7 linked regions of the Coturnix japonica genome follow. The protein of the gene in region 1 interacts with the protein of each later gene in a pairwise test. Links are inferred from orthologs where the notes say so. Each region holds a gene or a part of one and is shown in the gene's direction. Other genes may lie near its edges. The genes, in order: TNIK, MYT1L, DPYSL2, SMARCE1, TRIM2, PAFAH1B1 and myomegalin-like.

Region 1 (4,857 bases):
TTATATGTGAGCTGATGCCCTTTAATGAATAAATCAAAACCACCGACCCGACATTAGCCCTGCACCACCAACAGGTGAGCTCTTTTTGGCTCATTAAGGTGCTCACTGACCAAGGCTGGGGACTTCATCCTGTAGGAAAAGCTGATGCTGTTATATGTCTCTGTCTTCCAAAAGGGGGTGAAATGGCACAAACACTTTGCCACCAAGGTCCCAGTTTCTGCAGAGCTGAGCATGGGGTGGGGAAGGAGCTCAGGAAGCTGTTTGTAGGAGAGGTGCCCCAGCTCCTGCTCTGGCACGTCAGGTGGAAGTGCAACTTTTGTGTTCAACTGACTCACAGCAAAACATTTTGGGCTGATTCAACAGAGCGCTTTGCTTCCTGTCATAACAACTCCAATTGCAAGGTTTTGTTTGGATGCTCCTGGCAGAAGGAGCGTATACAGAGAGGCACTAAAAGAGTTGAGGACCGATCATTGCACAAGACGTAGAGGATCTGTGGGTTGGATGAAGGGAATGAAGCCATCCAACACTGTGACCCCATCCACGCACCTCACATGCACCAGGCTTTGCTTCCCAACCCAAAACCCCTCACTGCCACCCTCCCTGCAATGAACTGCGATCGTTTGCAATGCACAAAGCGCATCTCCAGCCCAAAGTGTAAGAAAACCCCATCCGCCTGCCAGTTGACTCATGTGTAGGGTTTCCACTTCCCAGCTCTGCATATTGTGAGATCCTGACATGAGCCGGGGAGAGCTGATGTTGTCAGCACAGCTCCCATACGGTTTTCTCAAAGGCAACAGATTTTTTATACATATATATTTATACATGGCACCTGGGTTGGCAGAAACTACATCCGAAAAAAGGGAAACAGGGAAAACACTCAGTGCTGAGTCTGCTTAGTGGGGCGTGGAGGGGTTTGGGCCATTTCTGGGGTTGTTTAGTCTGGAGTAGGCTCAGGGGAGATCTTAGTGCTCTGTATAACACCCTGAGAGGAGGTTGTGGCGAGGTGGGGGTCGGCCAATGCTCACAGTGATAGGCCAAGGGGTGATGGCCTGAAGTTGCAGCAGAGAGGCTGCCTTTGGGTACTGGGAAATGTTTCTTCCCAGAAGGAGCTGTCAGACATGGGGACTGGGACAGGCTGCCCTGGGATCAGTGGAGTCACCATCACCATCCCTGGAGGTTTCCCAGGAGAGAACAGATGTAGTACTTTACGACACGGTTTAGTGGGCAACAGTGGTGGATGGACAGGACTGGATGATCTGAGAGGTCTTTCCCGACCTTAACGATTCTATGAATTCTAGACGACGGCTCTCGGCCAAATGCAACACACTGACCCAGCCGATGGCTGGGGACAGCTCATCTTGGGGTCACTTTGGGGTGCGGATGCGATACCTGGCTCAACCCCGGGGCGCAGCCGCGCACGGAGCCGTACAAAGCCGGGCAGCGTCTCCCCATCCCCAACACGGAGCGCGGCCCCACGCAGACAAAAGGCCTCGCGATCCCCACGCGTGGCTCCTCCGCCCGCCCCCTGCCCGCCCCCTCCCTCCCATCACTGACTGACAGGCGGCCCCGGCGGCGAGCTGGGCCGGGCGGGCGGCGATGCGATGCGATGCGGCGCCGCAGCCGCCATCCCGGCGCAGCCCGCGGCGTGCCCTGCCCGCCGGCAGCCCCTATAGCCGCCCCATAGCGGCCCCTATAGCCGCCCCTAGGTGCCGCGGTGCGGGCGGAGGGGCAGGGGCGGCGGCGGCAGCTTCTCCCTCCCCGGCAGCCCCGCATGAGGGGAGGCGTTAAATAGCTCTAGCGCCTCGCCGGCCGCCACTGCCAGCTCGGTGGTGGCGGGGCCGCCTCGCCGGAGGCGGCGGAGGAAACATGGCGAGCGATTCTCCGGCACGGAGCCTGGACGAGATCGACCTCTCGGCGCTGCGGGTGAGGAGCACGGCGGAGGGTTGAGGGTTGCGGGGCGGAACGGGGCCGAGCTGCGGGCGGTGCACACGTGCGGGAGCGCCGGGCTGTGTGTGCGGACGTGCCTGCGCCTATGGAGGTGCATGTGCGTGTCGGTATGGACATGTGTGCGTCTGTCCGTGTGTGTTAATGTACGTGCATGTACATCTGCTCCTGTGCAAGCGTACGTGCCTGTGTCCGTGTGTGTGTGTGTAAACGCGTGGATAAAGCATGTACATGTCCCCCCATGTATGTAAGTGTACGTGCGTACAGCCTGCACGCATGGAAATGTGGCTCTGCACACACGCACGTCTATATGCGCGTGCCCCTGATGTGTGTACGCACCCTACGGGCACGCGGCTCCGTGTGTGTGTGTGTGTGTGTGTACGCCCAGTGCCCTCCTGCCCCTCCTATGGGGCGCCGTGGGGCCGCTCCCCGCTGTGATTTGGGGTGGGGGCCGCGCGGAGCTCCCCCCGCCCACAGCGGGGACGGGCAGCGCCGCGTCTCGTCGCGCTCCGTTAATCGCACGCAGGGACGCACGGCCGGGGATGCGGGATGGATGCGGATGAGGGACGTGGGATGCGGATGAGGGATGCGGGATGCGGATGCTCGCACCGCTTCCCACGCAGCGCCCGCTGTGCCCCCTCCTCTCTTCCCCTCTTTGAGATATCGCTGTCCTGCTGCCGTACCCTTGAAATGTCGAACGTGTCAGCTTCCGCCTGTGGCCCGATGCCACCCCCAAGGCCTTTTTCCTGCAAGTTTTTTTTTGTTATTGTTTTTTTTCTTCTCCTTTTTCCCCTTTCCTCTCCATCCCTTCGCTCTCAGCAGCTCAGTGCTGGGGGTGGGAGGCTGATGGGAGGCTGCTTCCATCAACCTGCTGGCGTAGAGAAAGAAATACAATGTAGCAGAACCAGCTAAGGACAAGTGCGAGTACGTTTTTAGAATCAGAAATAGTATTTGTTTCAGTGGAAAGAAAAAAAAAAAGAACAACAACAAAAATCAGTCTTTGTTCACTTGCCCTACTTTTTTTCCTGGTGAGTTTCTGGCTGATTAATAGTGTGAGTGTTTGCTCAGCAGGACGTGGTGCACAGCAGGCTGGGACCCATCGCCATCCTGTGGGGAGGGGACCTGCAGTGGTCCCTTCCCTGCTGGGTGGGAGGGAGCTGGAACCACTGGGGTTAATCAAGGGTAGAGGTGTCCTTGGGGGGGGAAGGGAGGGCCCTCTGCTTCTCCCCCACCCCCATTAGCCGTGTATGTATCTATATTTAACCATCAGCGTTAGCTGTATGTGAACCAGGTCACTAGTTCCTTTTAAGACTACCCCCACGTGCTCAGCTCCTCTGTTCTTGTGGCTTTTTAATAGTGTTGTGCTCAAGATGCAGCCTGGATTTTGTTTTCATTTTATGAGGAAATCTCTACCCCTGCCTGTCTGCAAGCCCCCAGGGCATGAAAACACGAAGCCCCCCCACTTCCCAGCCCAGCCCTTGGGAGGGTTTCATAGGGGGGCTACTCCTGCAGGAAGGGGGTTTGGGGAGTACCATTATATAGTTGGGATTTTTGGACTCCCACTATAAGATTAGGATTAGAAGAAGTTGGCTGTATCCAGGAGGCAGTCTCCTGATGGGGGGAGAGACCTGTTACGGTGCTTTCTTTTAAATCATGAGAGATATGTTGGTTTATAAGGGAGACAAGAATAGGGCTTTAATTTGCCAGGGAATAGATCTTCTTCCAAACCAAGCTCTTTTAGCACTTAGAATAATTGTTAAAGGTCATAAATTCAGCAGATCGGGCAAGAAGCGTGAATCATTCTGCAGGGCCTGAATCAGAAATCAATAGTAAATTTGCTGCCTGAGCACAAAACTCGGCAGCAGGGCGTAATTCCCCGAGCCTTGCAAAATGTCATTTATGGGAAGATGAGAGGAATGTCGGGATTGGTGCTGTGGATGGGTCTGGGTGGGGGAGCTGCTGCTGTGTCTGCTCAGAGAGGTGAGGGGTGGCTGCTGGGGTGACTCAAAATCTAGGAGGGGGGAGAATAGTTTCTTCTTAGCAGTGGGGAGAGGAAGCTCTTGGGCTGCTTATCGCCAAGTTTGAGTCACTGAGGTGTACCAGGAGGTTGGGTTTGAAGAACAACATGCCAACACCTATAAAGAAATAAAGAAGGTGGACCTCTGCCAGCATGCCCCATCCGAATGGAGCACAAAGGTGTGTGCAGGGCTGGGTGCAGAGGGGACACCAAAGCCCCCGTGCACTTGTGCTTTGCTACATGGGTTTATGTTGGCTGAGCTGTGCTGCTTCATGCACTCACAGCCTGGAACAAAGCACCAAATTCTGACTGCAGTGCATGGCCTGCTGCAGCTCGGAGCACACCTCGGGCTTGCTTCTGCCTCCTTTGCAACATATTTCTATCAATCATGTTATCCTGCGCTCATTGCCATGGTAGCCAGGTGTCCCCTGTGTCAGCACAGCGAGGACTGCAGGGAGAAGCTCTGGCATCAGGAGGGCTCTTACAATAGAGGTCTTCGTAGCACTGGTAATGAGCACTGTTAATGTTGCAGAAAACTGTAATTTAAAATGATGAGGCCATTGAACAGGTAGTGCTGCGTATTACACTGACAAGGGGATAAGATAAACTGCATTATAATGTTCTTTTGTCCAGGCTGGGAGGTATTTCTGCTGGTCTGCTCAGCATGGTGAATAGCCCCACGGCCTGGCGTTGCTATTAGCAGAATCATGATTAATGCAGGGATTTATGCAGGTTGTTGACAGAGCAGATTTTGCTGTTGTTTTTTTCTTTGGGAAGAAAATGAGAACGCATGTGAGCAGTGCTGCAGCAGGCTGTGCTCCATGGTGCTGCATGCACAGCTGAGCGCCACAGGAGAGCCGTCAGGACGGCGCTGGCTTTGCTCTCTTCCCATTTGA
Region 2 (4,086 bases), on another chromosome or scaffold:
ATGTGATTGCAACAACAGTTCCAATTGTAGCCACTTTTTTTCTTTTCTTTTCCTTTTTCTTTCTTTCTTTGTTTCTTTCTTTGTTTCTGTTTTTTATGCAGAAGACCATCAAATGAATTGTCACAATACTCGAATAATGCAAGACACAGAAAAAGACGATAACAATAATGATGAGTATGATAATTACGATGAACTGGTGGCCAAGTCATTGTTAAATCTTGGTAAAATTGCTGAGGATGCAGCATACAGAGCCAGGACAGAATCAGAAATGAACAGCAATACATCTAATAGTCTGGAAGATGATAGTGACAAAAATGAAAATATTGGTCGGAAAAGTGAGCTGAGTTTAGACTTAGACAGTGATGTTGTTAGGGAAACAGTGGACTCCCTTAAATTACTAGCACAAGGACATGGTGTAGTGCTATCAGAAAACATTAATGATAGAAATTATGCAGACAATACTTCTCAGCAAGATAATAGGAATATGAACTTTGTAATGTTAGGGAAGCCTGTGAACAATGGACTTACGGAAAAAATGGTGGAGGAGAGTGATGAAGAGGTGTGTCTCAGCAGTTTGGAGTGCTTAAGGAACCAGTGTTTTGATCTGGCTAGGAAACTCAGTGAGACAAACCCACAGGAAAGAAATCAACAGCAAAACATGAACACTCGTCAGCATGTCAGGCAAGAAGATGACTTCCAAGGAAGAACACCAGACCGGAATTACTCTGATATGATGAACCTAATGAGGCTTGAAGAACAGTTGAGCCCCAGATCTAGGACTTTTTCTAGCTGTGCAAAGGAGGATGGTTGTCATGAAAGAGACGATGATACCACCTCTGTTACTTCAGATAGGTCTGAAGAAGTGTTTGATATGACAAAAGGTAACTTAACCCTGCTTGAGAAAGCAATTGCTTTGGAAACAGAGAGAGCAAAAGCCATGAGAGAAAAAATGGCAGTGGAAGCTGGAAGGAGGGATAATATGAGATCATTTGAGGAACAATCTCCAAGACAACTTTCTGGGGATGACAGGAAGCCTAAACCCAGTGACGGCCATGTCAAAAAGCCATATTATGGTAAAGGTAATATTTCTATATACCGTATGTTATGTCATGAGAAAGTATGAACATGTTAAGTTTTGCATAGAATTCTGAAATGAATTTATTAATTCCACAAAATGCTAAATTTGTTTAAATTGTGGTAGTATGGCATGATTGTAAATTAGTTTCATGCTGTGAATATTAAAAATTATTTTGTTCTACAATGTTAGAAATATGCACAGTATTTCAGTGGATATCATTTGGCTAAACTGAAAAAATAAGTTTTCAGGGAAATAAACAAGAGATCATGTTGAAAGAGGCAAAGATTTTTCTCATATTTAATATATTTTATAGTGATTATTAAAAATGTGAGAGAGTGGAGTTTTGGTAGCAGGTAGTCAATCAGCTTTGAAGTGCATATTTTACAGGTTGGATTGGGTAGGTGGCATTGTGATTTATAAAATTATCATCAAATGACAGTTATTGATGAAGCCTCTCCCATCTAAAATGTAGAATTGCCTGATAGAAATTGAACAGTATCAGAATGACCGATAACATGAGATAGGGGCAGTGACTGCACATTAATTATCTTAAGATAGTAAGGTAATGGAAACCATTTGCTATGCAAGGCATGGTGTGGCCTGGGCTGAGATCAATAGCAATTTATTTCTTATGTGCATTCCACTTCACTGGTTTCATTCCATTGTGGAAACAGTTAAGGTGCTGCCTTGACCATAATTCAATATAAAAGACAGACACACACACACAGAGTATATACACACAGAAGAAAAATAAAATAAAATAAAATAAAAAACATCAAAAAAGGCAAACTAAAGGTTAACTTCGGAATACTTTTAATTTATGAGATTATCCTCGTTATGGTGTAATTATTTTACCACATTCCTCTGTAACATATCTACAGCTGTACCTGCAGTGCTGTGTTGTATAAATTATTCGATACCTCCTGAAATTCACCGAACACCTTTAATTCCCATTGACTTTAGTGGAAGTTGAGGACATGCCATTATTTCTTGGGAGCTGCTAAGTAGGGACTTCTATTTGTTACTGTAATAATAGATTCATTTCTGAAAATGAACTGAGATGTTGAGCATTTTCCTACTCTTTATATATCTCTTTTTTGAAAGACTAATATCCTCCTGAGACATTCAGGTAGTCAGAAAACATCTTGGTCCAAGAAAGGTTTTGATATTTTTTTTTTTAACAAAACTTTAAGAAAGGTAATGTCCAGTCTCTTAGATAAGCATGGAAATTACTAGTCATATACTCTTGTGAGATGTATTGTAGCAAAGTGTTGTTGGTTTTAACTAAATATACATATATATGGTCTGGTGCAGGCTATTGTGATGTTGGGTATTTGGGAAAGACAACTTTAGTTTATTGCATTTCTACGTGGATGTTGTTTTAAATATTGTTCACATATATCACACACTAGGTGCCCTTTCCCAAGAAAGAAAAAGAAGTAGTGTGGACTTAATATTCCAGTAAATTATTGAGCTTCTTTGAAACATCCTGCCCTTTAGGAGCTGCAGGCTGAAATGATAATAGGTCCAGACCCCAGCCAGGGAACCAAAAGACTGTGCTGGGTGTTGTGGTCGTTTGGGCCAAAGAATGTTGTGTTTGGACCAAGATATGTAGTGCAAGTTTGGACTGAGAAACATATTGGAGTGGTTAGTTGTATGCTTTCTTTAATTAAGGCAAGAAAGAAAAGATGATTCCTTCCTTACATTAAGAAGGTAGCTGTTGAGAAAGGAAGCTTTAAGTTAGACAGCTGCTTATATCATTTGTTCTCAACTCACATATAATCTTCCAAATACTCCTAGAAAAGATATCCAAAGAGATATATGATATGATGAAGTGGAAACTTTGTGGGTACCCAGGTTTGCAATAAAAAATACTTCAAGACTTCTGACTTGAACAATTAAGGGACTGCTAACTAATTTTTCCCTGCAGTTTAGAGCTTTTGTCTGAAATTTAGTGAATTTAAAAACCTTTTGAGTCCTGTAACAACCATCACTCAGGCAAAATAGCCATTGTGACAAGGAGTGAAAAAATGTTGCAGAATTAAATATCAGTATGCAATATTTCTCCCCTTTGTCAATAAAGGATTTGCAGAAGATTGTCCAGTGTTCTGTAAAAAAGTTATGGAAAGTTTAATCAGATGTCTTCCATTAAAAGCAATGGGAAATTTTTACAATTTTATGTAAGTTTTGAAATAATTATGAAGAGTATACAGCATCTTTTCTGGCTCATTAGACCATAAAGGCTCCTAAGGATCTGTTACGTGCAATAACTTTAGAGCACAGTCTTGAATGCATTAGAGAATTGTCTTGACACTTTAAGTGTCAGGATCCTCAATTGCTCCAAACTAGAATAGCTTCATTAACCTCTGTGGAGCTATGGCAACATGAAGTAGGTAAAGTTCTTCTATATTAAAATCTATAAAAAGCCGTTATGGTCTACTAATCATCTACATTTTTTACAGTCCTCAAATGTTGTTATATTTACATAATTTGTATTTCATTTATGTTACCTTTTCACATATCTAATACTTTTATACATTCAAAAGTTCTTGACATGAAGAGTTGCTTAGAACTGTGTATGTATGTAGCTGTGGGCTTGATGTTCTAGTGGTCTCAGCACAGGCCTATTTGGCAAAACTTCTACTCCCTCCTTTGACATTCACTCCTTCTGTGGCCTTGGTTTTAATTTTTTGATCTCTTTGTTTCAATTTCCTTAAGTACAAGGTTATGGTATTTTCAGGAGTGTTGTGATAACTCTGTTGCACTTTGAAGATGGGCTTGTATGTACATTTATTTATTAACAAAGAGAATAAAATGAAGAACTGTACTTTACAGTCAACATACAGGCTAAGTAAAATAAAACTTTCACAATTAGGGATTCCATTTGCAAAAGTTAAGTTTTAAATATTGTATTATAATTGAAGAATGTATTTAAAACATGGAGAATCACTTACAGTGAGCTGAAGTATTTTGTTAAAATGAAGGCGTTTCTGAAGGACATGGAGTAT
Region 3 (4,556 bases), on another chromosome or scaffold:
GACTGACCTTCATCAGGTCTGAGATGTTTGGATGTTGCAGATTCATCTGCAGGATTTGATTCTTGTCTCAGCCATTTCCCAGCCTCCAGAATGGCTTTTTTCTTGGCAGATTGCTCTCTTGCTGTCCTTTCACAAGGGGCCATCTGAGCGTCTTCCAAGGATGTGCCAAGTGATGAATGAGCTCGATTTAAGGCTCTCCCTAAAAGCCACTGCCTACATTTCAGCAAACTGCAGGACGTGTCAACACAGTCACTTCAAGGCTTTCAGCTATCTGGGGCCCTTCGGCACTCTGCTGCTTCTGTGGATTGCCTGATCAGCAATGCTATGACCATTAATATTTATAAACCTTAAATAATACAGGACTTCAGGGTACCTGAGAGACCATATGTTGGCTTCCAATTCCCAGCAAAGCACCTGCGATCCTTGTGACCACAAGCCTGGCTGATCTTCTATCCAGGCCCCAGAAGGGGAAGGGTTGGAGCTTTCCCCCCAAGGGCGTCTGTCTTTGGCCTCCTCCCACCTTCATTAGTTACCAGATCACATCCCCATCATCATTCAAGGCCAAGCTGCAGGCTTCTTTCTTTCCTTTTAGTCTGGAGTCATAGTGTATTGTGTTGTGCATTTACTATGGAGTTTCACTTAGTTGTGACCTTGGGTGATTCTTCTTTCCCCCCCCACCTACTGGTAAAAATGCATTGAGTTGGGTATTGCTTGCAGGGAGAGAGAGCTCTGAGATTTTTTTTTTCATGATTATTATTTATTTATTGCTTTGGATATTGTTTTGGTCTGAGTCTTGCAAAGTCTTGCTAAGGTGCTGGGTAACCATTTGGACACAGATGCCTCTGAATTACCAGTTAATGTGCATGTGTGAAGATGCATATCAATGAATAATGCATAATAATACATAGCTTGGCGATTGGGTTTGGTTCAGAGCAATATTGCACACGGATTTAGCCTGAATCAGTGGTGTTAATAACGTTTATCAGGTAGAGACCACCAAATGAACACCACTGTGTGCTTCACCACTTACCTTTGCAATAAAAACATCTCTTCCCCGCCCCAGCTAACACATCTCACCCGGCCTCGCAGAAAATACCCCATAGTAACGACAAGAACAACTCTCCCTCTGATTCGGCACCCTTTGGGGCCGTGTGTTCAGCGATAAACCCGACGGAACGAGCCGGCGATGGTCCCGCTGGCTGCAGCAGCAGGAGGCGGCCTGGCCCCGCGGTGCGGGTGGTGCTGAAGGGACAGCTCCCGCAGGCCCCGCTCTGCCCCCTCCTCCGTACGGCTGCGGGCGGCCTCCCCGGGGAGGGTCTTGGGGGGCTTCTGGCATCGCCTGGGCTTAATTGACTTGCTAGGTCACTAATTTTCCTTTCGTGAGGTAAGTGCTGGTTAACGGCTCATCTTTCCCTCATCCTCTGTTCCCACACCCCTCTCCCATCTGTCTGTCTCTTTCACTCCAGTGCCATTCACTCCCCCCTTTTCCCCCCCTCCCGATTAGGGACTACCCGAGGTCCGGCACCAGCGATGCCCCAAACCCTAGAGAGATGAGTCAGCTCTCAGCCTCCCTCCGGCCCCAAAAGCCCAGCCGCGATCTCCGCCGCTCCCCGCCCTCCGGCTGCGCTGCCTTGAGAAAAGTGAGGAACAATAGGATTCCCGGAGCACTCCCCGACTCCACCATTGCGGGGCTGGGGGAGGTAGGAGAGAGGGTGGTGGGAGGAAGGAAGCGATCCTTTCTCCCCCGCATGGGGAACACGCCTCCGGAGGTGCGGGGGGTGCTCGGGTTCCTCCAGCTTCTCCGTAACTTGTAAGCGATAGCAACGCGTTGGAGAAGGCGACGAGCATCGATGGGGGCTGTTGCTCCAACCTGATCGAGTCCATTTGCCAATTCACCACTCGCATCACTTCCGGATCAGTCCCCAGTTTCTGCTGCAGAGTGAGGATTTTTTTTTCTTCTCCCTCCCTCCCTCCCCATCTGGATGCTGGGAACTTGAACCCTCCTCCCTTGATTGCAGCAGGATCTGCCCCAACCTTCCCTCAACTTTGCACTGCATCAAAGAAAAAGAGAGCGAGCCACTGACTATATTGTATCGATGGGGGCAGGGGATTTGCCAGGCACAGCCCTTTGCAATTGATGCTGCCGTGTCTCTAGGACCCGGAGCGATCTTTTTTTCCTCCTCTTTTTGCTTGTGTGTGTGTGTGTGTGTGTAGCGTGTGTGTGAAGGATCCTCCTGGTTACTGCTGTTATTATTTCCCGTTAGCAGGGAGATCACACAAGCCATGGCTGAGAAGAAGCAGTCTGGCCGGCAAGGAGAGGAGGAAGAAGTACCAGCCTTCTTCAAAAACCTGGGCTCGGGCAGTCCAAAACCTCGGCAGAAATTCTGTGGCATGTTCTGCCCAGTGGAAGGCTCCTTGGAGAACAAGACCATCGACTTCGATTCCCTGTCGGTGGGCCGCGGATCTAACAAAGTGGTGGCAAAGCAGAAGGATGTTGCCCACTTGGGTCCGGATGCTCAGTCCGTCTATTCCAGGCAGAGTGGAAAGGGAGGGGAACCATCTGTTGATTTCGGAAGAAAGGTGGAGATCAGGAGTGCCACTGGGAAGGAGGCACTGCAGAACCTGAATGACAAGGTGGGTGCACATATATATATATTGTCTGTGTGTGTGTGTGTCTGATACAGAGATGCAACTTGCACATGCAGTAGGCTGCAGGAGGGATATTTCATTGCCACCCTGCGGTTTCCTGCTTTTATCACTTGCATGTATGTAGCAGTGTCTTCCCCCTAAGGAGCAGCATCTCTACTACAGCCTTCTTGGCAGACCTTTAATGTTATCCTTGTGCTCTCTGCAGGTGTGTGTGTATGTGCACGGGGAGGAGGGCAGAAGAAGAAAGGAGCCCCTGCACACACAAACACCCTCCCTTTCCCCGCCCTGCCTTCCCATTTGGTGGTAGAGACTGACTTTTTTTGTTTCCCCAGCACAGCGGTAGCAAAAAATGCCCCACCCAGATAGTGAATGCAGCTCACGGGAACAGAAACGCATTTGTAAGCAACAGAACATCAATGAGCCTCCACCTACAGGGATCCATTCCCTGCAGGTTTCTTGCAGGGGAAGCTCAGCCATGCACTCCTACTCCTCCTCCCAGGGGAGGAGAGACTCCGAGTGACCCATGGGAGCTGTATTTCAATACCAATTTTGATGAAGGCCTTTGGCTACAAAGGGCATTTTTGCCTCAGGAAAACGTGCCAGGACTTTAGCAGAAATGTGCTGTTCTCTTAAGAAATCTACTGAACTCCTCCCAATCCTTTAAGACTCCTGAAGCTATTTTCTCACTCTTTGTATGTGTCATTGTATAATAAACCTATCCTTTTCCTGAGGCAAAAGCCATTTAAGCCACATGGTTCAAGCTGACCATGCACACTTTTCCCCCCTACCATAAATAGATTTAAATAAGCTTTATTCATATCTGAGCCGTGAAATACTCAGTGTGTTCCTCCAACAGCGTTGGCTCCTATGCATAGCCTGGAAGAGCTGGAATGAATGAAGCACCAACCAGCAAAATTTCTAGTAATATACTGGGATAGAGTTTCTGTGAGTATTGCCCCAGTGGGTTTAAAGAGCAGCACTTTCTTCTGAGATGAGCCTCTTGATTTTCACTAGGGATATGGTTTGCATGCACAAGGTTGGAGTTTGCCTGGGATTTGTAATATGGGCTCGTTCCCTGGTTTCAGTTGCTGTATTACCAGGAGCATTGCTGGGGTCTTACCCTCCCCACGTCGGACCCTTCTCTGATTTTTCCTACTACAGTAACCTGAAGGCTCTATCCAGACATGCTTATAACAGCTGTGATTTACTGTGAGATCACAAAGGTAGGCCCTGATTTACAGAAGTTCTACACAATCAACCTCATCAAGTCAAGCGAAAGTTTGCCTCTATTGATACCTATGGTTTAATTTGAATATGGTTATGATTCTGCTCACCTTCCATGGTTAATTATTTGTCTTACACTGGCAAAGGAGAACCATAGGAATAAAGGCCATATATCTTGGGAAGTCAAAGGTTTTGCAATATGGGGCATTTTCAGGACTAATTTAGAACACTTTGATGTCCTAAAGGATGGAAATATAAACAGGTAATGTATTCATTCTGAAAAGATTAATTACTGTGTGATTGAGGGGTACAGTATATTGAAAACTGCAAGTATAACATGGCAAAAAATCAGATGTCTACACAGATTATTGATCACATTTCTGTAAAAGGGCTTTATTTTGGTTGTTTTTAAGGCTTGTCATAGAATGTTAACTGTGAAGGTATGAAATAATGGGATAGTGAAATATTGGAGTTGTTTCTTGTTACCTTTGTGTAGCACTGGTGCCAGTGGATGTGCTGTGAGGGACTGTGTGCATTTGGGTAAGTGCAGTCTTTTATTAGTCTTGCTATGGATTGGCACTTTATAACGAGAGTGTTTTAGCTTTAATGGTTTTCCAGCTGACTGCATCTATAGCTTGAATCAATGGTTAGATTCTCAGCAGGTAAAGCTGGCTTTGCTTCAG
Region 4 (4,086 bases), on another chromosome or scaffold:
GGACCAAGTGAAGGCGTCCAATCCTGATTTGAAGTTATGGGAAATTGGCAAGATTATTGGAGGAATGTGGCGAGATCTCACTGATGAAGAGAAGCAAGAGTATTTGAATGAATATGAAGCTGAAAAGGTAAATGGAAGAAATCTGGGATGTTTATTACAGCTGATTCTTCTAGGAACTGGTCTGAGAAGAAACATTCATCTTTCCCGTGCAGTGGTGTATGAGGCGTTCACCAGACCCCCTGTATGTAACTTAATGGAAGTTGTGTCCTGACACATCTTTTAGACTTTTTTTTTTGTTACTGTACATCAGCTGTGACTGGTCAGTTTTTAGACCCAATTCAAAATGAAGTTGTTTATAATTGAGTGCCGAATTTAACTGTTTAATGAATGGATTTAATTGTACAACATCAGTGTTGAAAAGATTGCCTCAACACCAAAAGCCTCTTTCAAAACTGGTGCTCTGCAACTACTGCTGTTGAGGCATGAACGTGCTCATAAAAGACTTCCAGTCACGTAGGGTTTGCTTTCCATGCTATTACCTGGTGTATCTCCACGCTGTGGCGTGGTGTTTTGTTTCTTAGTCGAAAAATGATACCATTCTGTAGGGTTTTCTCTTGGTTTTGTTTTTATCTTCACAACAAAAGATGACAGCTCTGCCATGTCTCTAGGTTGGTAAGTGCTGAGGACTTTTACAAGACTGTTACTGTGATCCTGAACTACAGAGGGGAGCTTGTCCACCCGCTGCCTTGTAGTTAAACCTGGCTGGCATCCTGGTTGTGCACAGCCTGATCAAACCTGAGCTGTTTGATTCCAAGTCAGTAGAGAAGTACTTCCAACTCTTAGTTGAAACAAAATGAAGGAATTCTAGTCTCTTTAACTTGGTAGCAGTGTTTAGATTGTAAGCTCCTTGGGGCAGGGGCCATCTTGCTTGTGTTTGTCCAGTCCTAGTAATGAAGAAACTTGACGCCCTCAGGTATTGGTGCCAGGATCGTAGCTTATCTCATTTTTCATTGGAAATACCTGAAATCTCTGTACAAATTCTAGAGTAGGCAAATTTTAAGAGTGACCTGAAAGTAAACAATTCAAAGGGAAAATATTTCAGAGAAAGTGAAAACAGTGATGCAGTCCTGCTACCAGTAGTCTGGCTGCAGCACTCTGTATCATCCCAGTGCAGGGATGGATCAAAGAACGCAAAGGCATAAGTTATTTGGAAACTGGCTCATGGCATAACTGGAATAAAGAAAGAGAAGAAATGGAAATAAAAGACATAGATAAAACTCCAAAGAACTATTGAGAATATTTTAAGTCAACTCTTCTTTATTTGATCTGAGTTCATTTGATAAATGCCTCGTTCTGAAGTTTGACTTCAAATGACAAAAATAAAGCGTTCTTAAGACCTCTCAAGCAGTAAAAAGCAGCTAAAAACCCAACGCCATTTGGGCTGAATGATTGTGGAAGGAGTTCTGATATGTAAAACTTAAAAGCTGAGGGAATCTGGTGGTGTCTCAGTCAGGTAGTTCAGAAATGAAGTCTGTATAACTGAGTTTGAGTAACACCTATTTCTGTCAGGTCTGAAATTGTCCAGTGGTGCAATCAAACAATATTGGTCACCTTTCAGATTGAGTACAATGAGTCCATGAAGGCCTACCACAACTCTCCTGCGTACCTTGCCTACATCAATGCAAAAAGTCGTGCTGAGGCTGCGTTAGAAGAAGAAAGCCGACAACGGCAGTCACGCATGGAGAAGGGTGAACCTTACATGAGCATACAGCCAGCAGAAGATCCAGACGGTAAGCAGAAAACAGCCTGTGTGTGTGTGCAGGGAGACAGTCTCACCACAGGGCCTGTGGCATAAGCACACGCCAGACAGAGAAATTACTTCTGTGTAGCCTTCCTGGTGCTGAGTGTGACTTCCTTTTATTTCAGTACCTTCACTACTTTTATTTTGTATAGCTAACAGCTCCCAAAACCTAAGGTGGCAATGCAGTGATAAATCTACCAGCCCTTAATTGTGTATGAAGTGATACGGACAGTTCAAAAGAAATTCGTCTGCTTAAAGCTCTGTAGTGGCTCTAACAAATCAATTACCAAACGATGAGCCGCTTCCTTTAATCCAGCTTGAATGGAATCCTGCACTTCATGACCAGAAGAAGCACGTCGTTCTGATAAGCTGAATTCTGGCATGATTAGGAGCACCTGAACTTCAAAGGTTCAACAAAAGTCAATTGAGATTGTTTAGAACAGAGTTATCCTCACTGTTGACAAGTTGATGAGAAAATTCTGAAAGTTTATTTGACTGCAAGGAAATGCACCCCACCCAGCAGGGAAAATCCAGATTTGTGCAGTTAAAGTCTGCTTTGAAATTGGTGACCCCGTACGTACTTGTTGAAACCTGAGGGTGAGAAAATCTGCTCAGTTACACCCTGAGATAAAGCCTGTGGCAACAGCGCCTTCCCATGTGAGGTAACTGCAGAACTGATGTCAACATGTTCAGTGCTCCAAGCAGCTGACATTGTGGGGCTTTCATTTCTGATCCACACTATGTGGGCCAGAATTAATGCAGGCAGAGCCAGCTGTGCCAGCACCAGGATGGATCCACTCATATTTGGGATGAATTGCTCAAATATTTTAGGATGAACTTTGTGACACAAGAAAGCAGTGTTGGGCTTTGGTTTGTTTGTAGTCAGTGCTGATGTTGGTGCAGCCTCATTAGCCCCAGTGCTTGCTTTGGGGAATGAGTGCCTTTGTGCTTCCAACTCCTGTTTCAGATTACGACGATGGGTTTTCGATGAAGCACACAGCTACAGCCCGCTTCCAAAGAAACCATCGCCTCATCAGTGAGATCCTGAGCGAAAGTGTGGTTCCTGACGTCCGCTCTGTTGTCACCACAGCCAGAATGCAAGTTCTTAAACGCCAGGTTCAGTCTTTAATGGTTCACCAGGTAAAGATAAATGATGGGAGGGCAGCACGCCGAGTTGCGCGTCCTTTGATCATCCCTGTGCTGTTCTTGTTGGGTGTCTGTGCTTTGTGCGCTCCAACTGCTGATCTTGGGAGTGCCAAGATGTGAGATTTCATTTCCCATGGCCTTTTTTACTGAGAGTTACCTTAAGCTGAACTTTTCCTTGTTACACACAACCCTTTTAGAGGGTATATTGGTAGATTCGGTTGCTTATGACTGCAGTCTTGTAGCAGTTCTTTACCGCACAGACCCCATTTATTGTTCAGCCTTTTTTCCTTCTTGGTGTATGTTGGGTATTGGATCAAGGAAACATTTTGGTGTAAGGGTTTAAAACATGTCTGTGTTTAAATGTTGGTTTGAATATTGTTGTCCATTTCTTCAGAAGTAAAGCAGCTTCATTTATGACATTTATTAATTTTGTTACATTTATTACATTTCCAGCGTAAACTGGAAGCTGAGCTGCTGCAAATTGAAGAGCGTCACCAGGAGAAGAAGAGGAAGTTCTTGGAAAGCACAGATTCCTTTAACAATGAGCTCAAAAGGGTACGAGTCTCCTTCCCCACTTACTCTGAGCAATCTACTGGTTCCCTGCTCATACTGATTCTCTGCCCACTTCCATTTAGTTCCGTATTGTCTGTGATGAGATGACTGCAGTGTCCCAGGTCTGGTGGAGCGTTTGAGTTGCTTCTTCTGTAGTTTCTGAAGCTTTTAATGTAAACTTATTCAAATCACAATATTTATTGTGCACGTATTGCTGCATGTTGAGATACCGAGTAATAATTGAGTTTTCTTGGTGCTTTGTCTTTTCACAATGTAACTGGGTAATAAAAGAGCTTTTTTCTAATTGCTAGCTGTGCAGTTTGAAGGTGGAAGTGGATATGGAAAAAATCGCAGCTGAAATTGCTCAGGCTGAGGAACAGGCACGCAAGAGGCAGGAGGAAAGGGAAAAGGAAGCAGCTGAGCAAGCTGAGCGCAGTCAGAATAACACAGCAGCTGAGGAAGAGCCGGCAGCCAACAAAATGGAGGAGAAGAAGGAAGAGGAGAGCGCTCCGATGGAGACAGGTAACCACATTTCAAAGCAGCTTCAGAATCCCCAAAGAATCAGTATTAAAATACCTCCATAGAGC
Region 5 (4,592 bases), on another chromosome or scaffold:
TGAAAGCCATGTGGTTTGAAACAATGCTTCCTGCTTTCATTGCCCATCTACAGTGTGTGTCCCCTTGTGCAGTGCAGGAGGATCTGAGTTAAGCTTTTGGAAAATGTTCTGTAGGCAGGCTGGTTGCTCATTTGTCTTTTGAGTATGTACAGAGGAGAAAAATCAGTGCCCATGTGTATTAATGCATGTTATGCTAGTAAGAGTTGTGAGATCAACAGGTCTGAAGTGATAGTGATCTGCTGAGTCACAACACAGATACCTCAAAGGTAGGATTTTACTCATGTCTTAGTTTCAACTGAGGTGGAATTGTTTTCTTCAGACTGTGTTTTGGCTCTAGGGGAAAAGCAATGTTGATAACATACTGATATTTATAGTTGCCGTGAAGCAGTGCTGTACAGAGCCAAGACCATTCTTAGCAAAGTGCCCAAGGATTTTAGCTATCTGGGTATCAGTCAAGGGGTGGTGAGCAATTGCTTGTGCATCACTTGTTATATACATTCATATATATATATATATATATATATGTAAATTATAATTGTTATCCTTTTTCTTTTTTCTATCTTAGAAAATAGATTTATCTCAACCCACAAGTTATACTTTACTTGTTTTCCTGACTCTCTCTCACTGGGAGGTGAGGGAAGTGAGCAAGTGACCATGTGGTGTTTAACCTGCCAGGTTAAAACACAACTCTTGCCCAGCAATATTCTTCAAACTGAAGTCATAGTTGTTGTGTAAACAGGGAGCTCCGATTTCTTAAACGTTTGGCTTGCATGTCTCTTACCAGTAAAAAAAGCTATCTACAGGCATAGCTGGCAGGAAGGCACACCCTCTACCTGTTTCACAGGGGTCACTAACTGTCTGTTACATGACCACCCCTTCATGTCATTCCCAGCCATGCAGGTTTTCAGCTGCTGACTTAGAACCCTTCTCAGCCTGCACAGCCCTAGTACCAGGGTCCTCATCTTCCCATCTCCCAGGTAGGATCTGATTGATCTGCTCTCCCTGCTGTGGTTGTGGAGAGGTTTGTCTTCTCAGCTGAGAAGAAAGCTCAGCAATTATAAACAGCAATTTGCCTTTTCTGTTCTGCTCTGTTGTGTGCTATGCCTCGCTGACTCATACAGCTCCTTTTGGGAACTTCCTTCAGTTTTAATGCGGCACCATTTCATAATGTGCAATAAAGCAACAGTGAGGCTGATGTTTCAGTTTTGAACAGAGCAGATGTAGTGAGATCCTTGTTGCTGGAAGAATAAATAAGCTGAAAAATCCTCCGCACTTCAGTATGCAGTATTGATTGCTGTGCTGAGACCTAACGTCAGCTGAATGTCTTCCTTCCTCCTCACCTCCCACAAATACAAAATAACAGACCTTGTTTACTGGAATTCAGAAGGTTCTCTGTTTGTTTTTTGTGAGTGTTGCTCTGATAGTGCCCCCTACACTCTCATTTAATTTGCAATATCATTTGTGCTTTGAATTTCACATTTAAAAATAATTTTTAGGTAATTATGTTTCTTGCCTCCAAGACAAATCTGCTCCAATTTTATAATGAGAACTTCAGCATTACCTTATTATGAACAAGAATCTAGGCCATATACATTACATAAGGTTGCTATAGTAACACTTTCTCCAAGGGCAAAACCAACTATTGGTAGTTTCCACAGAAACCACTCCCCGCTGAGACAGGTGCCTCCGGGGAAGTGAAAGGAATATAAATGAGAGAGAAAGAGGCATGCACAGATGTTGTAAGACCTCTGCAGCATCCCTGCGTTGTTGTAAATTCGGCCGTACACTTCTGGGTTTATTTCTAGTTCCTAGATTTGGACTGTATGACTGGCACCTTCTCCTGGCACACAAACTCTGCTTGCCCCTCCTTTCCATTGAACTGGTTGTGCAGATGGAGGTATGGGAGTGCTCCATGTTGACACTGAAGTGACCACATCTGATAAGAAAGTCCAGAGCTCTAGGAACCGCTGTATGTGGGAGGATTTAAATGGTAAATGGAAATTTCCCCCTTTTGTTAACTCTGCTTTTCTGAAAGAAGTCAGCAAAAACAGGTATGGAAATAATTCCTTCAGAAGAGGAGTGATTCTTGACTAATTTGTCAGATAATGGTTTTCTTCTTTTGGGGTATGAGCACATGTGGCTTGGCAAAATGTATGATTAAAGATCAGGGTGCCTTGCAAAGAAATTAACGCCTATGATTTGTTAATTGATAAAAAGAGAGCCGTTTCTTTAATGTAGTGTGTGTCACTGAAGACAAGTACAGATTCATATTTCTGAAACTCTTTTGCACATGGTTTTTCTTTGCAAATAGCATTGATTGGTTTTGTTTTTTTCTGCAAGAGAAATAAAATGATGACATACATTTAAAGCTTAATGTGGCCTATGGATTAACATGCTGACTACTTCATCTTCATCCTGTCATCTCTCTGCTGCTTTATGGAGAAAGCAGGCTGACATGGTTATTAAATCTGGCGGCTATGTTGTATGTGCATGGGAAGCAAGCACAGCATATAGAAAATCAGTAGCTTTCAGATAACAGCCTTCCTTTCACTGCTGCGAGGCTTGAAAGACAGACTAAAAAGCTCTTTCTCCTTTTTGTAATCACCCATTGCTGGAACAGTGCACAAATATTACAAATACAGTGGCAAATGTAAGTATTCTTTGCCTGTGCGTTGCTTTCAGAGTGCTAATTGTGATTTCTACCTTGGTGTTCTGCTTGGAAAAGCAGAGGGACCAAAGCTGAAAACATCCTGGGAGTGAGTGTTTCTCTGCAGTATTGTTTCGGCTTTCAGTGGAGAGGCTGCTGAGAGAAAGGGATGTATGAAAGCTTTCCGAAACAAATAGCTTGCAGTTGTTTGTTGATTTTTGGGGACATCTGCTTGCCATTTTGTGAGGGGAGAAGCTAAGAAAATGCAGGAGGTACTTCTAGAGAGGCAGAAAACAATCTATGTTAGATAATAGCAGATACGCAGTGAGAAAGAAGCTTCAACATTAACAAGCTGCTGTGAACATGCAGGAGAGAACTCTGTCATGGTACTTTTCACCTCGAACCTTTAAAAATTCATACATGTAGAACTGGACTTATTAAAAATCTTAGCAGTGTTATTGTGGGAAGTGCAAACAAATAATCATCATAAGGGGCACAAATCTGACCTGCTAAGAACAATGAACATATTACGGTGAGTAGTGCATGTTTTTAACCCATTTTACTCTGTTTGCAGATGAAAAGAATGTTTATCTGATGTGTGGCATGGAGGCAGGACAGTAAGGTGGCTGGGAAATAATGGAGTTTTAGGTTTCTCGGTGTTGCAGTGATACCATAAAGAAGAGAATCAGCACTTGTTAGTGGGGTTTTTTGATCTTGTGCTAAGAAAGAAACAGCATCAAGTTTAACTTCCTTTCTTATTCAAAGCTTCTGTAGTACCGTTGTCCTATGGGGTTTATGAGTCGTGAATTCTTATGCTGTGAATTAAATCTGCTTATTGAAAACAATTATATGTATCAGATAATTGCATGAGAAATACAGGATATAGCTGGTTTGTTTGTGTTGCTATGTCATGCTTCTTGCTTTGTTTACATGATTTGTTATTAGGCATGCTGTAGGCTTTTTACAAGCCTTCTGAAAAACTCTAACAGTTAACAGGTGACAGCCATTAAGTAGCTACAGAGAGACTTGTTCTCCGTAAGGAAAGGTGTGAAGATATTCATAGTACTACTACTGTGTCTCTAATAGCAGGTTGTATGTTTGGTTCACCTTTTGTCTTAAAGCTACTTCTTAGTACTTCAGCTTCATTTTGAAGATGTATACATAGAAATGCTTTTCTTCATTGTCACAGCTGAAAAGAGGTTTTGGAACTTCTCTTCCTCTCCTCTCCCTTTTTCCTCATACACAGGAGAAAAAATATATATATGTATATAATATATCAGAAATTTGTAGTTTCCATGAAACTAAGCTGTGAAAATGGTCATTTCTGATGACAGCTGTGGAGCTAATCTTCTTGAGCCTGACTGACAGCTAGCCAGCTGCTGAGGCAAGCAGTGAGCTTTGAGGACAATGTCACTCACAAAAATGTCAAAATGTTAAAACGGCAGACGTCAAATGCCATGTGCATAGGAAAAGGGTTGTCAGCTGGAAGGCTTCAGCTGAAGGCAGTTAATCTACTTCTTGCCTGGATTAAACATTGAAAGCTGCTGCCTAAATCTATAAAGCACACAAGAGATAATACATATGTGTCCTGAATTATTTCAGAAGTTCTTCTGGGGAGATCTGGGGGTGGATAAACATTTTCAGAGCTGTATCATTGAAGATCTGCTCTGCAATATCCAGAAAGATGTCCAAAAAAAGCAGCCTATTTGCCTTTGCTTCTGCACTTTACATCCAATGCCAGTTTTCCTCCCAGATCGCTTATGCACAATATAAATTGATTTTGATCAAAACTAATCAGTGCTCATTGATGTGCAGCAGGATGGTGAAATTCTGATAGTGTGTGCAATGATTTTTAGGCATGTACACACTGAATATTAAACAATCTCCTTCAGTTGTTGGTGCTGCAGCCCGGAGGTGAAGCCTCATTTGTAATTACATGCACTGA
Region 6 (4,086 bases), on another chromosome or scaffold:
TAAGGAGTGGATTCCTCGTCCTCCGGAGAAGTATGCTTTGAGTGGACATAGGAGTCCTGTCACTCGAGTAATTTTCCATCCGGTTTTCAGTGTAATGGTTTCTGCTTCAGAGGATGCCACAATAAAGGTATGTGCTTGCTGGAAAAAATTAAAGGAAGCTGCTAAGAATGTAGCATTAGAATTTCATGGTGGATGTGTGTTGTAGTGATGAAAGATTGCTCCAGATTCTGCTTTAGCTTCATTAGGGACAGTTATTTCAAATGTGATTTCTGGTATAATATATGAATTTTGGTTTTATACTGATCCAGTTAGTATCTGCAATTATGTTTTACCGTGACTTGTGAAGAAATACTTAAGCTACTGTGGATCGGAGACTGGAACAATAAATGGGGGAATACGTTTTGACTGCTCTGTAAGAGGGCATAGGGAGCATACAGAGATGAGAGGGAAGAAGACAGTGGCCTCAAGTCATCTAAGTCTTAGAGTAGAGTGGTTATGCAGCTGTATTCTTAACTGAAAAATGGTTCTTCCCATTTATTTTAAGTGACATGTGCAGGTCCCGTGAGGTTGCTATGACTTTCAGGAGAGACTTTCAGTAATTCTAAACAATCTTCACACACCTTTATTGCAGTATACAGTGACAAGAACAGATTTGTTGTAGTAGGCAAGTAGTTTCTCATTTTAGCACCAAGCAAAGATATAATTGTGCATTTTGTTGCTCTCTGAATGTCACTGTTTAAGAGAAATTGCCATCTGTGTTGCTTTGAAAACTTATTTGGGAAAATGCAGTCCTGACAAAGGTTGAAAGGTATTGAAAGTAATGTGCTTAGAAATGTAAATTGTTCTGACAGTGAATGTGGTTATTTTAGTTGTGGTTTGGGTTCTCATCCCTAACCCAGTATTTTCTGGTTATTGCTCTGCAGTAGACGAAGTGTTTGCTGTTTGACTCTGAACCAGTGAATAGTTTCTGAAACCACGAAATAGGAGCAGGGGGAGTTTTTGAAGGTGCTTCCCCCACTAGCTGAAAACAGGCTGTGTACCAGAGTTGAGGAAAGAGTACAAAAAGATGTATAGGATATATGAGTAATGATCACATTAAAACAGTGCTTTTTTCAATGTTATTAGGCTTTTCTAGGTCTTTCTTTGTTTCTTGCATGTTCAGTTATTGAATAAGGTGCCAGACTAGTTTGTAGAGTGCAAATGTAAAGCTGGAGAATACAGTGAGTAATAATATATTACTGATAACGGATTTTATTTGCTCGTCAGGTGTGGGATTATGAGACAGGAGACTTCGAACGAACCCTTAAGGGGCATACAGACTCTGTGCAAGATATTTCCTTTGACCACACTGGCAAACTGTTGGCCTCCTGTTCTGCTGATATGACCATTAAGCTATGGGATTTCCAGGGCTTTGAGTGCATCAGAACTATGCATGGTAAGGTTTTAAGGAAATGGATTTAACAGTCTGTGAAGTAGAGGTATGGTTTTGTTTTGTGGTGGTTTGGTTTTTATGAATGAGGAAAACTGTAGATGTGGCAAGGGGAAATAAACTAGAGTTTTACTCAAAGCAAAGAGGGTTATTTTAATGCTTCAACTGTTCTGTAAAATGGAGTATATATTCAGTGTCTGTGGAATGAAATAGCATCTCAGACCTATATGCGATGCTGTGGGGAAACACCCCATAATGATACTGAAATGAAATGGCAAATACAGAGGAGATGTGCACTGAAAATGATAACAAAACTATACTGTCAAATCACTAGAAAGCTGTCTTCATCTGCACCCCTCTGTTTGCAGAATGCGCTGACTCAGGAAGTAAACAGGATGGAAAGTGTTCTCGGTATACTGTACAGTCTTTTGTTTCGGACTTGTCAGATTTCAAATGAGTGTACCCATTGCATTAGACTCAAAAGCCATAGGGGGGAAAAATGGGGAAGTAAGATAACCACCACATGGATTCCAGTTATTGACAGCAATTTGTTGTTTTGTAAACTTGATATAAGAACATTTTATACTGCTTATCTCACTTCAATATCGTCTTGTAGAAGTGATAAGCAGTAATAATGTTTGAGAATTTTTATGAAAATAAATATGCCAAAGAAAAAGACCTCATTTCCTTTGAAACATTATCTGTGTGGTGCATCATAACACTGTAATCAGGCTTACCTGGTGATTTCAAATGCAGACACATAAGCTGTGGGGTTTAGCAACTGTTACCAAGCAAATGTTGTTTTTAGTGCTGATTGTCTGTTTTTAAATAACCTGAAAGACATTTTTGAAATCCTAAAAGTTGCTCAAGAGCTGGACTTCATGGTTTCTAAAAATATAAGTGACTTCTGTAAAACTTCAGGCTTGTGTTCAGTGGTTATTCCATAAAGCATGCTAAAGGCTTCTGCTGTAGCAACTTGATCAAGATGAATGAATAGCAGATCCTGTATGCTCTGTAAAAACAATATCGTAGTACCACTTAATAAAAGTTTGCTTTTCCTTTTAGGTCATGATCATAATGTTTCTTCGGTAGCCATCATGCCCAATGGAGATCATATAGTTTCTGCCTCGAGGGATAAAACTATCAAAATGTGGGAAGTCCAAACAGGGTGAGTGAAGTTTTGGGTGAACATCATTACGTAAAGAAAACCCACAGAAAAACACTTGTAATAGGAGATACAGCATGTGCACCTTAACACAGTCATAAGTGGATGGGTTCTGCATCAAGTTATTAAGTGCAGGGTGTGCACCACTCATTAAATGTATCTGGTTTTATCTTTCTGGGAGCTGTGGAGGTATAATGCTGTAACTCAAGACCAGGTAGGAATTTAATGACTAATAGCAAATTCAGAGGGATTGTGACAAGTAGGAGGAGAAATCTGCTATCTTTCTTGAAACAGGAAGATTTTTTTTTTGCATTGTGGTCTGCTTTGTTATTCAGTAGTCTCTCCGACCCATGCATTTACTCCATGTTGACTGTAAAGGCTATCTGAATGATTTGTAAATCTCTATATGTTTTTAAAATACCTATGTAATGGAAGTTAGAGTGTCAGCAGCCTCCTGTTTTTCTCCCTTTAAAAGTATTTGCTGGCTCTTAACTGCTTGTCCTTTTTTCATGCAAGCTTCCTCCCCATGAACTGCTTTAGGGCCTTGCACATCAGTCAGGACTGATATTCCTGCTAAAGTTTAACTCGAGAGGAGGTCAAGTGTCCTTACATATCAAATGCAAGCATAGTGGCTTTATTGCAGTGCTTATATATCATTCTGTATTTCTCTGTTTTGAATAGTTACTGTGTGAAGACTTTCACGGGTCACAGAGAATGGGTGCGCATGGTGCGGCCTAACCAGGATGGCACCTTAATTGCCAGTTGTTCTAATGACCAGACAGTGCGTGTTTGGGTGGTAGCAACAAAGGAATGCAAAGCTGAGCTCCGAGAACATGAGCATGTGGTAGAATGCATTTCCTGGGCTCCTGAGAGCTCATACTCCACCATATCAGAAGCTACAGGATCAGAGGTAATGTTTCCAGTGCTAATATTTAACTTTTGAGTTTTGTTCTCAAAGCACTCGGCAGGCATAGCAGGTGTTTTGGAAGTTGGTGGTTGTTTTTTCATTTTCACTGCTTATACTTGTTGCACCGTTAATCCCCCATCTTGGCTTTGTAGTCACTGTGCTCTTCTTTTAACAGTAGGGCCCTACCTATGCACTGATGAAAGGGACATTTAGAGAGAGGCTCTGTTTCAGAGAAGGCTGAGAGTTGGACCACGCTGGCAGACTTCCATGAAACAATGTGAAAGGCAGCTCAGCTAATGTAATGTGAACATTGTGAGGATACCTGGCAGTGAAAGGTGTGGGGAGAAGAATAGCAAGTTAAAAATGCAGAAATGAATCTTCCTTGGGTGTAATTCAAAATGCTGTTGAAATTAGATTAACCTTTGACCTCAGTTTCCTAGCGTACAAAGTTAATCACATGAGGAAGCGTTCTCAAAAGTCTCCATTTGTATGGTCATGGATGAACATTCTTCGGCTTGGTTACTAAATCTTGAAGAAAGGCTTACCAGAGGTTTACACAGATTTATTTCCTTTTAAGGATGACAC
Region 7 (4,086 bases), on another chromosome or scaffold:
GCTGAAAGAAACTGTGAGTTACAGCTCTTGCGCCAGCATGTGTTGAGGAAGGAGCCTGTCGGGATCCAGGCAACTGGTACCAGTCTGCTGAAGCAGGACAAGCAACAGCCTGTACAAGTAAGGATCATGTACAGTGTTTTTCCTGTGGCCTTGGGGCTCCAGAGGGAGCTTATTGCCACGGGAGGAACTGAGATAGGGGAGTGCCACAGGGAATGATAGTACTGAAAGTGGGATTAGGAAAGAGGTTTAGGAGGACAGAGGAACTGAGGAGCAGAAATGTTGCCTGGACACTCTGACCTTGATTCCACTGGCTTTTGTCACTCAGTGTCACTCTTGTTTTGATCAGGCAATAAGCACAAGTGAGTATGAAAAAAATCCACCTCCTGACCTTCCAGCACTGTCCCAGTCCTTCCTTGGGCTGGGCTGTGCTGCTTTATTGTAATCCCCTCCCTGACATTGTCACATTCTGGAGGGGACAAGGGAGCTAATTTTAGGTCTCACTAATTCTTGGCAGAGCCTGCTGGGTGTTTACTGTCTCTTCCACAATTGGGGTTGGTATTTTTAAAGCAGCTTTGCTAAAAAACCCTTTGAGGCTGAGCACAACTGTAAGGCTACATAAGCCCTGTTCCTGCTTGAGCAGCTGTTAATGGTTTATCGGTGAGATGACATGTTGAACGCTCTTAAGCAGCTGCAAGCAGGTGGCTCACTTCTATTCCCAGGATGAAAGTGAGCTCTGGAGACATCCCAATATGTGATATTTGGGCCAAGCTTTATGTTTTCCTACCTGCACAGTTCCTCTGGGCCACATCTTTGGATGAAGATATAGGTCTGTGCAGAATCTCAGTTGAAAGTTGTAGTTGCTTCAGTTGAGCAAAACTTGCTTAATCCTGACTATAATGAAGCTTACTGCCAGCAGCCTCTTAGTGAGAAATAAAATAAGGCTAGAGCCCTGTTGCCCAAACATGCAGCTTCCATCTTGTGTGCAACTCTCTTGTCCCTGCTGTCTGACTAGTTCCTGTTATTGCTTTGTCATGTTTTAGAGGCATCAACAAAGCAGCCAGCAGATTTGCTGCAGTCCTAATGGGCCCTGGGGTAGCTGTGAGGTTCTCTGTAAAGGTGCAAACGTGGAGGTTTTTGTGTTTTCAGGAAATACTGCAAAGAGCTTGTGGAGCTGCAGCCCTTGCTGGACCCCCACAGCAGGACAACAGCTGCCTGACAGAAGAAGGTGAGTGACAGCTTCTCTCAAGGTCCTCAAACAAGTCAGGACTTTTTTGCTGTGGGGTAAGCATGCTTACATGAAGCCATTAGAGAGTGACGAGCTTGGAGCAACAGCAAGTGTGTTGAAATAAAACTGTGCCTCTCCTTTGGATGAAGGTTCACAGATGTCTTGGGGGTGGGTGTGTGGAAAAGAGAGAGATTGATTTAAGGTGAGTTACTTCTTCATTGCAAGAAGTTTTGTAGCGTTCAGGGTAGGGATTTTGACTTAGTGGTTCAGATTAGAATGAGAATAATGCAGCTGGTTTGGGTTGTGCCTTAAGATCAGGACATGTCATATTTGATGGAGTGAAGACAGGAGGCCTGGGGTATTTCTATTGTCTTGGGCTGCTGTTTAAGAATTAAGTAGGGAAGAAAGGTGTTTAAGAAGAGGTGGTGTGGTGGGGAGTGTAATCATTGTGGACTGGTCTAATCTTGCAGTCAGAGGGAGCAGCTGACATATGGTAACACTGCAGTAATCCAACTGTCCTTGCAATTGCAGCATCAGCAGCAGAACTGGAGAAGGATCTTGCTAATGCCAGAGAGGAACTGGAGCTAATGGCAAAGAAAGAAAGGGAGAGCAGAGTGAGTTTGTGCTGAAGCCTGTGGTGGTCTTCCTGCCTGCAGGGAACCCTTGGGCTGTCCCTTATAGAGATTTTGGACCCCCCCTCCCCAACATGAGTGTGCCTCAGTGAGAGATAGGGCAGCACAGTGGGGTTTTACCTTTCTGAAGTTTTTCATACTCTCCTCTTTTGTACCTAGCGGGAGCTTGCTGCTCTCCAGTCTGTTGTGACCACGCAGGAGGAAGAGCTGCAGGTGCAGGCTTCTGATATAGAGTCTCTGACCAGAACCATCCAGATCAAAGAGGACCTCATCAAGGTGAGGTAACATGCTTTGCTGGGTCAGCTTCTTCTGAGATGGCTGCAGAGGTGTCTCTTCTTTCCCCACATCCTGTCCTTCATGGTTACTCATTTCCAATGAATGACAAGACATCAGAAACCAAGCTGTAGGCTTGTTATGATTATCTATGACCAAGTATGTCTGCTAATGCAAGGAACCTCTTCAGAGTAACATGGCTGTTTGTGTATAGTTTTGCTTTTGGTTTGCCTACAGCCCTCCGATTTGGGCCAGAAGTTATGGGCCCCAAATCTTGAGAGTGTCATTATTAGACTTTTTGCTCCTTGCTTGCAACTTTCTTGAGCACTTTAAACAGATGTTGTGTTCCTTCCTAATTCTTGCTTCAAGCAGTTGATTATGGTTAATACACACTGGATACATTGGCATTTCTTTCTTAGGAGACCAGGGTCTTCTCTAACACTGGAAAAATGTTGGTAACTGCATTCCATGGAGGGTCACAAGGTTCCAGCTGTCCTTGTTATTGATCCCTTCTCCACAGATCCCTCCTGCCTCTTGCTTTTCAGGATCTGCAGATGCAGCTGGTAGATCCTGAAGAAATTCCAGCAGTGGAACGGCTGACACAAGAAGTGCTGGTACTTCGTGAGAAAGTGGCCGTAGCAGAGTCGAGAGGACAAGAGGCTACTGGAAACAGAAGGCAGCAGGTAGTGTGTCCTGCAGGGCAAGTTTGAATGTATTTGTGTTTTATCTGGTGCTCAGTTATAGCGCTTTATTCTCAGCTGTTGGATATGCTGAGGTGTGCATGTTCTTTAAAGCTGGCTGCATATAATATAGGGAAAGCAAAGGATTGGTTCCCTTTTTTGTCTCAAGGGTATAGACTTTTGGGGGATGGTGTCCAGGGTTGGCAGTACTTGATTGCTTCAATACAAGCAGGAGAGGTGTTGGTGCATCTGGTAGGGGAGACCACCATATCCCTGAGCAGCCAGTACCTTTGACTTATGTGTTACATCTTTTCTGTTCTCTCTGACCAGTTGTTACTGATGCTGGAAGGGCTGGTGGCTGAGAGAAATCGGCTAAATGAGGCTCTCCAGGCAGAGAGGCAGCTCTACAGCAGCCTGGTAAAGTTTCACACACACCCAGACAGGTAAGCAAAGCTGCTTTGGCTCCATGCTGCCCTGTTTTTTGCCGGGATTTGTGTGCGTGGGCCAGTGGGGCAACTCCTGAAGCAATGATTGTTTTAGGAGTCCAGATCTTAGGCTACCTCTTTTCCTTAAGGAGATTGCAGTGGCCAGCTTTAAATGATACATAACCTCCTCCCGTTGCTGTCTCTTGTTCAAGCCCTGAGGTTTCCATCCCCGTTCCTTGGCTTACTCAGTCCCTGCTCAGTTTCCCACACACATTTGGCCATATTTCAGAGGCTGCCGTTTTCACCCTGCCAAATTCCTCACCAACTGCTGGGTTGATAGAGATGTGTCTAGGCTCTTATCTAGGAGGCTGTCCCACAGTTGCATACCACTGCATTCTTTGTCCTCTGTGCTAATCCCCTGCCCTTCATGGGGCTGCAGCCTCTGGGATATTTGAGCTACCTGACTGCAAGAGAGCACGTACATGAAGTGCTTTGGTAAGTACTGAAGAACAGCTGTGACTAGGGGTCTCCTACCATGAGCTGGAGCCTTTTTTGGGGATGGCTGGGCTCTGGGGAGGCTGTGATGTGAGGCAAGAGGTGTCCAAGCCACCTATGGGAGTGTGCAGGGCCTGCACCTGCGGTGAGTGGAACTCCTGGATGGAGGAGCCGGTTTGGTGTGTGTGCACTTGCTGCACCTATCTAACACTGTTCCTTTCTGTGTGGTATGTCTGCTTAGCGCTGCGAGAGACCGCACTCTGCAGGTGGAGCTGGAAGGGGTCCAAGAGCTGCGGGGACAGCTGGAAGAAGCTCTTGGAAGAAGCTTGGAGCGTTTGAGCAGGCTGGACACACAG

What was found.
Region 2: the proteins of TNIK (region 1) and MYT1L interact in a two-hybrid assay, tested with the Homo sapiens proteins (2 studies listed by IntAct). The link is inferred for Coturnix japonica from reciprocal best matches to the Homo sapiens genes TNIK and MYT1L.
Region 3: the proteins of TNIK (region 1) and DPYSL2 interact in a two-hybrid assay, tested with the Homo sapiens proteins (2 studies listed by BioGRID and IntAct). The link is inferred for Coturnix japonica from reciprocal best matches to the Homo sapiens genes TNIK and DPYSL2.
Region 4: the proteins of TNIK (region 1) and SMARCE1 interact in a two-hybrid assay, tested with the Homo sapiens proteins (2 studies listed by BioGRID and IntAct). The link is inferred for Coturnix japonica from reciprocal best matches to the Homo sapiens genes TNIK and SMARCE1.
Region 5: the proteins of TNIK (region 1) and TRIM2 interact in a two-hybrid assay, tested with the Homo sapiens proteins (2 studies listed by BioGRID and IntAct). The link is inferred for Coturnix japonica from reciprocal best matches to the Homo sapiens genes TNIK and TRIM2.
Region 6: the proteins of TNIK (region 1) and PAFAH1B1 interact in a two-hybrid assay, tested with the Homo sapiens proteins (2 studies listed by BioGRID and IntAct). The link is inferred for Coturnix japonica from reciprocal best matches to the Homo sapiens genes TNIK and PAFAH1B1.
Region 7: the proteins of TNIK (region 1) and myomegalin-like interact in a two-hybrid assay, tested with the Homo sapiens proteins (2 studies listed by BioGRID and IntAct). The link is inferred for Coturnix japonica from reciprocal best matches to the Homo sapiens genes TNIK and PDE4DIP.

The regions. Positions count from the first base shown.
Region 1 is NC_029524.1:17,292,728-17,297,584, forward strand, and holds the start of TNIK (TRAF2 and NCK-interacting protein kinase), read left to right. Parts: upstream 1-1,561; 5' UTR 1,562-1,866; coding exon 1,867-1,923; intron 1,924-4,857. UniProt on the Homo sapiens protein: Serine/threonine kinase that acts as an essential activator of the Wnt signaling pathway. Recruited to promoters of Wnt target genes and required to activate their expression. May act by phosphorylating TCF4/TCF7L2.
Region 2 is NC_029518.1:84,925,792-84,929,877, reverse strand, and holds part of MYT1L (myelin transcription factor 1-like protein), read left to right. Parts: intron 1-101; coding exon 102-1,079; intron 1,080-4,086. UniProt on the Homo sapiens protein: Transcription factor that plays a key role in neuronal differentiation by specifically repressing expression of non-neuronal genes during neuron differentiation.
Region 3 is NC_029537.1:1,712,597-1,717,152, reverse strand, and holds the start of DPYSL2 (dihydropyrimidinase-related protein 2), read left to right. Parts: upstream 1-1,596; 5' UTR 1,597-1,939; intron 1,940-1,991; exon of another isoform or gene 1,992-2,267; 5' UTR 2,268-2,283; coding exon 2,284-2,634; intron 2,635-4,556.
Region 4 is NC_029542.1:4,150,248-4,154,333, reverse strand, and holds part of SMARCE1 (SWI/SNF-related matrix-associated actin-dependent regulator of chromatin subfamily E member 1), read left to right. Parts: coding exon 1-127; intron 128-1,618; coding exon 1,619-1,790; intron 1,791-2,768; coding exon 2,769-2,941; intron 2,942-3,400; coding exon 3,401-3,502; intron 3,503-3,810; coding exon 3,811-4,021; intron 4,022-4,086. UniProt on the Homo sapiens protein: Involved in transcriptional activation and repression of select genes by chromatin remodeling (alteration of DNA-nucleosome topology).
Region 5 is NC_029519.1:17,657,271-17,661,862, forward strand, and holds the start of TRIM2 (tripartite motif-containing protein 2), read left to right. Parts: upstream 1-1,711; 5' UTR 1,712-1,990; exon of another isoform or gene 1,991-2,051; intron 2,052-2,539; exon of another isoform or gene 2,540-2,650; intron 2,651-2,787; exon of another isoform or gene 2,788-3,179; intron 3,180-4,592. UniProt on the Homo sapiens protein: UBE2D1-dependent E3 ubiquitin-protein ligase that mediates the ubiquitination of NEFL and of phosphorylated BCL2L11. Plays a neuroprotective function. May play a role in neuronal rapid ischemic tolerance.
Region 6 is NC_029534.1:8,198,924-8,203,009, forward strand, and holds part of PAFAH1B1 (platelet-activating factor acetylhydrolase IB subunit alpha), read left to right. Parts: coding exon 1-127; intron 128-1,266; coding exon 1,267-1,435; intron 1,436-2,494; coding exon 2,495-2,597; intron 2,598-3,275; coding exon 3,276-3,504; intron 3,505-4,086. UniProt on the Homo sapiens protein: Regulatory subunit (beta subunit) of the cytosolic type I platelet-activating factor (PAF) acetylhydrolase (PAF-AH (I)), an enzyme that catalyzes the hydrolyze of the acetyl group at the sn-2 position of PAF and its analogs and participates in PAF inactivation.
Region 7 is NC_029523.1:4,150,577-4,154,662, forward strand, and holds part of myomegalin-like, read left to right. Parts: coding exon 1-117; intron 118-1,146; coding exon 1,147-1,225; intron 1,226-1,756; coding exon 1,757-1,839; intron 1,840-2,016; coding exon 2,017-2,133; intron 2,134-2,675; coding exon 2,676-2,813; intron 2,814-3,140; coding exon 3,141-3,253; intron 3,254-3,971; coding exon 3,972-4,086. UniProt on the Homo sapiens protein: Functions as an anchor sequestering components of the cAMP-dependent pathway to Golgi and/or centrosomes.